2 linked regions of the Xenopus tropicalis genome follow. The protein of the gene in region 1 purifies or fractionates together with the protein of each later gene. This does not show direct contact. Links are inferred from orthologs where the notes say so. Each region holds a gene or a part of one and is shown on either strand. Other genes may lie near its edges. The genes, in order: gli2 and sufu.

What was found.
Region 2: the proteins of gli2 (region 1) and sufu purify together in Homo sapiens (affinity purification with mass spectrometry; 3 studies listed by BioGRID and IntAct, with this or other methods). This does not show direct contact. The link is inferred for Xenopus tropicalis from reciprocal best matches to the Homo sapiens genes GLI2 and SUFU.

What each region holds. Positions count from the first base shown.
Region 1 is NC_030685.2:89,201,226-89,205,659, forward strand, and holds the start of gli2 (zinc finger protein GLI2), read left to right. Parts: upstream 1-1,570; 5' UTR 1,571-1,915; intron 1,916-4,434. UniProt on the Homo sapiens protein: Functions as a transcription regulator in the hedgehog (Hh) pathway. Functions as a transcriptional activator. May also function as transcriptional repressor. Requires STK36 for full transcriptional activator activity.
Region 2 is NC_030683.2:29,292,965-29,296,780, reverse strand, and holds part of sufu (suppressor of fused homolog), read left to right. Parts: intron 1-962; coding exon 963-1,097; intron 1,098-3,816. UniProt on the Homo sapiens protein: Negative regulator in the hedgehog/smoothened signaling pathway. Down-regulates GLI1-mediated transactivation of target genes. Down-regulates GLI2-mediated transactivation of target genes. Part of a corepressor complex that acts on DNA-bound GLI1.

The sequences.
Region 1 (4,434 bases):
AAATCTTCCTCAGGTCCCTGCCACAATATTAAACTCTCATCTTGTCCAAATATTCACAAAATAAACATTTTACAGTTCCCTATTGTTTCAGTAGAGGAGATTGGGGGGGTCTGTGTGGTTTGGGGGTAACTGATGTCTAAGGGTTAAAAGGCTGCAGTCACTTCAGGGCACCAATGTGCCCCGGGCAAAGATCTCATTGGTGGAACCCCATCAGGGGAATTGGAATATAAAGAAGGGGGGCTTATACAGTCGATGTTGGGGCTCAGTGACAGCAGTGTCTGTATTTTATTTCTGCATTTCGTTTGGGGGCTCCCACTGCCCTCAGTCACCTGTAATCCACTTCGAAAACAAGCATCTGATTGGTTGCTATGGGTTACTAGACTTGGTGCAAACCCTGAGACTTACATTGACCCAGGGGGGTATTGGAGCTTTGATGTGCTGGCAGGCAGGGGGCGCCGCTACCCGCACACATTCCGCCAGAAGACAGACCCCCCCCCACAAGCAGTGTAGGAGAAGCCCCCCCACTGGCACTCTGCAGAACACAGAGAAGGTCGGCCTGGGGGAGCAGGAGAGGAAAGTGAGGGGATTGGGGGTACCTGGGCCCTTCCCCATCTGCAGAATTAACCCATTCTCCTCAGCCCAGGATGTTACCCCCACCCAGCAAAGTCCCCTCTAATCTGCCCTCTGGGGGGGGCTATGTTGCCATAGGGGCCCAAGAGTTACATTTGGACTGTGCCCCCCTATTTCCAAAGATGAGTTTCTTACATTCATTACAAGATCCGCTCGTTAGCCGATAGGCAGATATCAGGCCGCTGACAGTGGGGGGGGGGGGGGTACAGAATGTTGGGGTGAGGGCTCCCCCAATGAGCCGACCCGTTCTGGATCCAACAGGAAAATCAAACCTGCCCAATCGACTACTGGCCAATGTTTGGGCCATTTCTCAGTTGGGTGGGCCCATTAGTGCCCCCCATACAGGGGCAGATAAAGCTGCCAGGGGGGGCCACACCTTACCCGTATCTAACCGAGCCCCCCTATCTGCCTTAATGTAACCCCTTCTGTTCCTGAGGCTGCAACAGCGGACTAACTGGGCTGCCCCCCATTTCCTACCAATACCCCATTATTTGACCCCCCCCTCCTGTTAAGGCTTTCCTATTCCACAAACAGGTAACATGCCCCCCCCCCCCCCCCCGTACAGAGCCCCCCAACAGTTTAACCCCTTCTGTCCCAACCTTTTTTCAGTTCCCATTAGTTCAAAACTTCTGTTCCCCTGGGGAGTCCCCCCCCCCTATGACTTAACCCCTTCTGTTCCACAGGGCTGAACAAGCACCGATTGCTCCCAAAGTTTAACCCCTTCCGTTCCGCATGGCTGAATACTTCCCCCCCCCCCCCCCATCTGCAGAGCCCCCGTTAATTTAACCCCTGCTGAAAAGCATTGAAGTTGCTGAAAGCCCCCCCTCTCCCCTTCCCATCTGGAGCAGCAAATGGTTTAAGTCAGAGAGGGGGGAGGATTGGGGGGGGGAGGGGGGAGGAGGAGGAGGGGGGGGGGTGAGATTGAAAACAGATCAGTCCGGGGCTGAAGCGATGGGCTCAGATCATCTGACTCCACTCAGCGGCGCAGAGACAGAGGGGACAGGGAATCCCGAACTTTCCTGCAAACTGCCCCCCGGAACCCCCTGCCCCCCGGACTCTCCCCCGACTCCGCGACCCCCAAACCCCGGAGTGTGCGCCCCCCTCACTTCCCACCATGGGTCCCCGAAAGTGACACCGACCCCCCCAAAGATGGATATAAAGTCGGAGTAAGAGCGCAGAGGACCCCGATATGGAGCACCCCCAAAACTAAACTGCCTCCATCACTTGGCACCAGTGAGTGAGAAGCCCCCACAGCCTGATTGGAACTGCCCCCCCATACCCAGAGGTAAGTGCTCTGTGAGACTTGGGGGTTCTACATGCAGAAATGGAAACGTTAGCACTGAGCCCTACCCCGGGTTATTGCCCCTCGGTGGGGCATTAGCGCTGGATCTTTCCAGGGGCGCATTCCCTTACTGGGATTGGCACTAGAAACGCGTTGACATCTGGGGACCCCCCCCCCCATATTCCCTTTCACATTTGGAGCTTGGCCTTTTACCCCAGTCTCAGACTCACGGGTAAGAGTTGCCCAGTTGCCCCAGAGAAAGTGGCACTGAGTTTGTGGGTATCGACTGCCACATGTGCCAAAGTGAAGTTTTTGTGCAGCCTGGGGGGCTGTTGTGTTTATTTTGGGGGGGTAGATCTGCTAAATAAGGAACATGTAGAATTGCTGGGGGGGGGGAAGTTGGGGCAATTACAGCCCCCCAGCTGGTACAGGGCTGTAGTAGGTTACTGTAGGTTAAACACCAGTCACAGGGCTACAGTTGCCCACTCCGGGGGTAGGGGTCGGGGGGGCGATGCCAGCTGTGCCCAGTTGGTCGTTTGCATTGGGCAGAGGGCTGGGTGTCAGCCCACAAGCTCAGACTGATTGCAGACTGCTGGGAAATTGCTTTGATAGCTGGGAAGTCACACAGGGTGAGAAGGAATGGGGGGTGGGGGGGGGCAGCTTCCTATCAGATTATTAGTTGCACACCCATTAACCCTTTGTTGGGGCTTCATAACAAATGCATTGTGGGTGTTTAGAACATGAGGGGCGTTTTGACTTGTTTGGTTTAAGTTCCCCTTTAGGGTCAAATTCTCCTCCCAGTTATATCAACCTAATATCTGGGGCCCCATAGAACTGACTGGGGGGGGGCTGTATATATATATATATTGTGCTACTTGTATACCACAAGCCCATTCATTGGCAGAGACAAGGGATATTATGAGACACGAGTCCCTGAGCCACAGAGCTGACAGTCTAAGTGGGTTTGTAACTTACAGACACAGAATCTTCTATGCCAGCCCCCCGGGGTATCACTACAGACCCCCGGGGTATCACGACAGACCCCCGGGGTATCACTACAGACCCCCGGGGTATCTCTACAGACCCCCGGGGTATCACTACAGACCCCCGGGGTATATCTACAGACCCCCGGGGTATCACTACAGACCCCCGGGGTATCTCTACAGACCCCCGGGGTATCACTACAGACCCCCGGGGTATCTCTACAGACCCCCGGGGTATCACTACAGACCCCCGGGGTATCACTACAGACCCCCGGGGTATCTCTACAGACCCCCGGGGTATATCTACAGACCCCCGGGGTATCTCCAGGCTTCATGGTGCAAGTGGGGGTCCGGTGGTTCTGTGATTCAGAGATAATCTGGGCCGTTTCCCATGAGTCTTTGGGGGTCGTCTCATTAACATGTGTCTGAGTTCAAAGGCTCCGGGGGGGGTGATAAGAAAGTGTCACTCGCACTTAGAACCGACCCTGAGATCAAAGCGACCCAACTGTGCGGGGGGGGGGGGGGGTCCGGGGTTCAACTCCCAGCGCCTTGAGTCTAAAATTCTTTACTGATGTCCAGAACCAATCATCTTGCCCCAAAAGGCTCCTCAAACTGAAGTGTTTTGCCCCCCCCCAAAAAACCCCAATGTTTTCCATTCTTCCGCCCCTCCGCACGTCTCTCCAAGTAAGGTCATAGCAATAACCCAAGCCCGCCCCCCAAAAATCTGCCCCTGATCCTTATATAAAGGTGGCCTTGCCCCCCAGACTTTGGGGGGGGTAAGTAGGGGGGAGCAGTGGTTATATGGGGGGGACCCATTTGCACCCCCATAGGTTTATATAAAGTCTGTATAATCTGCAGTGTAAAAGGGAAATTGGGATCCCCAAATCCTGGACTGGACTGGAATTGGGTCAGAAGCTTAGCATTTGCCCATAAAGTGAGTGTAAGCTCTTGTGCTCAGGGTTGGATTCAGGGGGCAGAAAATGATGGATTTGGTGCCGTCTGGTTCCGTGCGGATCAGTAAATGGGGGGGGGGGCTGAGTCACTGGGATTTCTCTGCGCTGAATCATTTCTGGGTTCTACAGACCCGCCCCAATGCATTCTGGGACCTGGGGGGTTCCACATTGTCACACAATCACCCCCAAAATATAAATGTTAAATGGAATGTGAGCAGATGTAGTGGGGTGATTCTGATGGGCCCCTGGGACAGTGGCCCCTAGTGCTGGGGTGGGTAAGAATGAGACCTGGGGGTTCCAGTTATGATGATGAGTTGTGTAGTTCAACGCGGTCCCGGGTCGGGCCAATCACACTGTGCCCCTAGGGTACCAACGTGCCAGTGGGAAGGGTTGTTCAACCTTGGGTTGAAGAGCTTACACTCTGTTCCCCCTGCATGGAAACCAGGCCTGCTTTAGAATTGGAACCAGTTACCCCTGGTTGGCGCTGGGTAAACAAATGATGCTGATGGTGGCGCCGCTGGGCACATACCCTATTGGCCTAGTGTGGGCGCCGCTGGGCACATACCCTATTGGCCTAGTGTGGGCA
Region 2 (3,816 bases), on another chromosome or scaffold:
GTGAATGATCTTATTGGCTAACTATTCATTTTAACTTATGATTCACTCATCAATAATTAAGGATATGTGAGCAGACTTATTGTATTTTTAATATGTTGACTGCAAAATCATATGTATATTAAATGAAGGCTATCTATTCCTTTGTTTACTTTCCCATAAAACCCAACCATTCAGGATAAAGGCATGCCCAGTAGACGTTCTTTTAACAATGATTATCTGATCGTCCCATCCACTGCTTGAATTTTTAAATCTATCCAATCGATTGTTGGAATGATGTGGTCGGAACAATTGTAAATTATATGATCTTTTTGTACGCTTTAATGTAACAATAAAATCAGTTGCTTCACGTGACAAAATCTTCCCTTGTATGGCCACCTATACACAGGCCCAGACTGCCAATCTGAGCGGCTGCTGTAAGATGCCAGTTACTGTTTATTGGGCTTGTGGGGGCTCTTTGGGCCTCTGTGTACATGAAATGCCAGGGTCAATTTTTTCATCCCAGTCCAAACCTGTTCATACAAAAAATGTAAATATGCATAGAAGGAATGTTTAGTAAGCTGAAGGCTGCCATGATTTTCTGTAAATTGTAGCACAGCAGAAGTCAAAGCAGCCTAGCAAATGCAGCTTTAGGGTGAAGACACACAGAGCTACTAGCAGCAGCTGCTTGTCACGGCTACTAAAATAGACAATGCTGATCATTTACTAATAACTGTCTTGACGTGTGTTTTAGCAGAGGCAATTCTCAGTATTGTCTATGGCAGGGTATTTTCTGTTTATTAGTAGCCGTGACAAGTTTCTGCTACTAAGTAGTTCCATGGGTGTCTTCACCCTTAAGTAGTGTGATTTCAGCCTCTAAATGTTACTGTGCATGTTTAAAATGTTTGTGTTCCGTTTTACAAGCTTTTAATTTTATTGCGACTAAAAGCTGTCATGTTAGTAACTCTTGATTTGTCTATTTTCAGGCTGGGTGGACCAGACCCCCTAGATTATGTGAGCATGTACAGGAGTCTTGGCAATCCAGCACTTGACGTCCCTGAACATTGGCATTATGTCAGCTTTGGCCTGAGTGATTTGTATGGTGACAACAGAGTCCATGAGTAAGTTCTCACAACATATAGATTATCTGCATGTATACCTTTTAAATATTGTAAGGTGGGGAGCTTTTGCAATATACCTTGCCTCATAAATTTTGTACTAAAAAGTATATTATTAGAAAATACATTTATCTGCATGTTGAGGTTTATTAATATGCATGGGAATTGCCAGTTTAATTCTACTGTTTAAATGTATCCATTGATCCTAGTATTATAGTTCCCTGCACATTTTTAAAGGCTATATAAAAATGGTTCAGTGCTTTTTTTTAGCAATAACTAACTCTCAGTGATTGCCCTGTATTTACTTAATAATTATTATTTATAATGTATTTCTAAAATACCAACATAAGCCATAGCTCTGTGCAGTAAATTAGTATATACATTTAACATACAAAAACAACCAATACAAAGGGTAAAGAAGTCCCTTCCCAAAAGAGCTTGCAATTTAAACTGACAAGCAAAACATTGTTTTCTTAATGCATAATAGGTGAACAGTACAGAAGTTCATTTATTAACTTTAGCACCCAGTGTTTTTATTTCCATGTTCTTTCATTTCCAGTCAGTATCTTAAAAGGTTATTATACAGTACAGGTGGGATAAAATGCATCTATTAGAATGAAATGCTAATGCTAGCATAGGTTATGGGATGTCTCTGTGCGTACTGTAAAGGAGACTGAATGTGCCATATCTATGCTTGTGAAATACTATTGAGGGAATACAGGGTTATGGGAGATAGCTCTTAGTACAAGTTGATCCATGGACTGGTCTGATTGCCATCTTGTAGTCGGGAAGGAATTTTTTTTCCCCCTCTGGCAAATTAGAGAGGCTTCAGGTGGATTTTTTTGCCTACCTCTCGATCAACTAGCAGTTAGGCAGGTTATATATAGGCATTATGGTTGAACTTGATAGATGTCTTTTGTTTCTACCCAACTTACTATGTTGCTAAGAATATGAGTCTCTTTCATTTTACAGTTGCTTGGCTCATTTGAGTAATTGCAGATGTTGACTTTTAATGTTATGGCGTTATGTAGCTCCATGGTTGGTGGGACAAAATGCTTAAAATAGACCATAATTCACCTTTGGAATCACCAGAAAGTTCCTGGTGTATATACACGATTATACATGACTGAAAAACACTCCACTGAAAGCAGAGTAATCCTCATTTTGTATTTGTACGGTTTTAAGAGGTTGTTTGTATGACCAATTATGATGCAGTTACTATTTTCATGTCTTTTGCTTCATTTAGAATTTAGAAGCTGCTGCTTTTTTGACCAAACTGTCACCCAGAGCCAGTAATAATGTCAGACTACTACTCATTTATTTATGTAGCACAAGCTTTACGCTAATGATTACAAGCTTTATTACTTTTAGCCTGACATTTTCCTGTATGTCACTCGGCACCCCTATCATAGATTCACCGTAATAGAAAACTTTTTACAGAAGCAGATTGGGCTACTGCAATTACAGCTTGTGGTTGAATTGGGTGGGTGAGGTTAAGGCAAGCTGTCAGGTGTGTGTATATATGTTTTTATACTACCCAGCTACTGGGCACAAGTAAAACCTTCATAGAAAAGCTGACCTATTGCCACCTACAGTATTTTTGGTACCAATAGTCCATTAGGAGTTCACATCTTAGAGGTAAAGTATTACTTATGTTGTTATCTGAATGAGCACCCTTGCTGATGGTGAATGCTTTATTGGTAGTCTGACTGCTTTCCGTGCTTCTTTTGTAGGGTTTTTTTATTATTCTGTTTTTGGTAATTAGTTGCTTAACGTCTTTTTCTCTTTTTGTCCCCTTGTCAATGGTATCAGTAGCCTTGGTGCCCAGATCCTTGTTACTAGTTGACAGCAAATGGCTTTTCCATTCAGCAGCAATATTAACAAATAATCTTGCTTTTTACAGCATTCTGTCAGATCTTCTCTAGAAGCCTTTGCATTCCTTATCCTGCTCTAGCACTTACCAAACCACAGTCTAATATGCATACATGGCAGTCTGTCTTGTTGCATTGCAGTTGGTCACTTGTGATACTGTGAATTGTGATACTAAAATCTACAGTTAGTATTGATGTTGGTATATATGGTTTATGTATGGGAGTATATAGATAGGGCAGTGTGGGTCTGTATGTGAGTGGATAGATAGGGCAGTGTGGGTCTGTATGTGAGTGGATAGATAGGGCAGTGTGGGTCTGTATGTGAGTGGATAGATAGGGCAGTGTGGGTCAAGCAACAGAAATGCAGCCATTAGTTGTAGTAAAGCCTGCAGTGCGAAACCATATTTACAGACTTGGGACGAGTCTATATTTGGATTGTAAAACTGAGTTCAGTAACATTTTTAAAAAATGTACGTGTATGTAATCCTCCCTCCGCTGCCTGCTAATTCATGTCTTGCTCCTTCAGTTTGATCTTGATAGATCTGCATCTGTTACACTGCGGGCTGCGGCTTTATTTCCAAGCTGAGAGGCAGCCTCCCTGTAGGGTTTCTTTTGTTTACACTGTTCCCTGCGAGTGCAAGTATCTGTGGGTCCATGTTGGCAGCTTTTCTAATTGTGAAATTACAGAATCAATAAAGTCTTTGTAAATGAACCATTTATCCCTGGAAAGTCTCGGAGAGGGCACTAGTCTCCTGGAACGCTTCTCCCTCTGCGCTGGAGGTAGACCTCCCTGGAAGAAATTGGTAACATATGGAAACCCTTTTTTCGCAAGTGTATTTAGTTTCAGATTG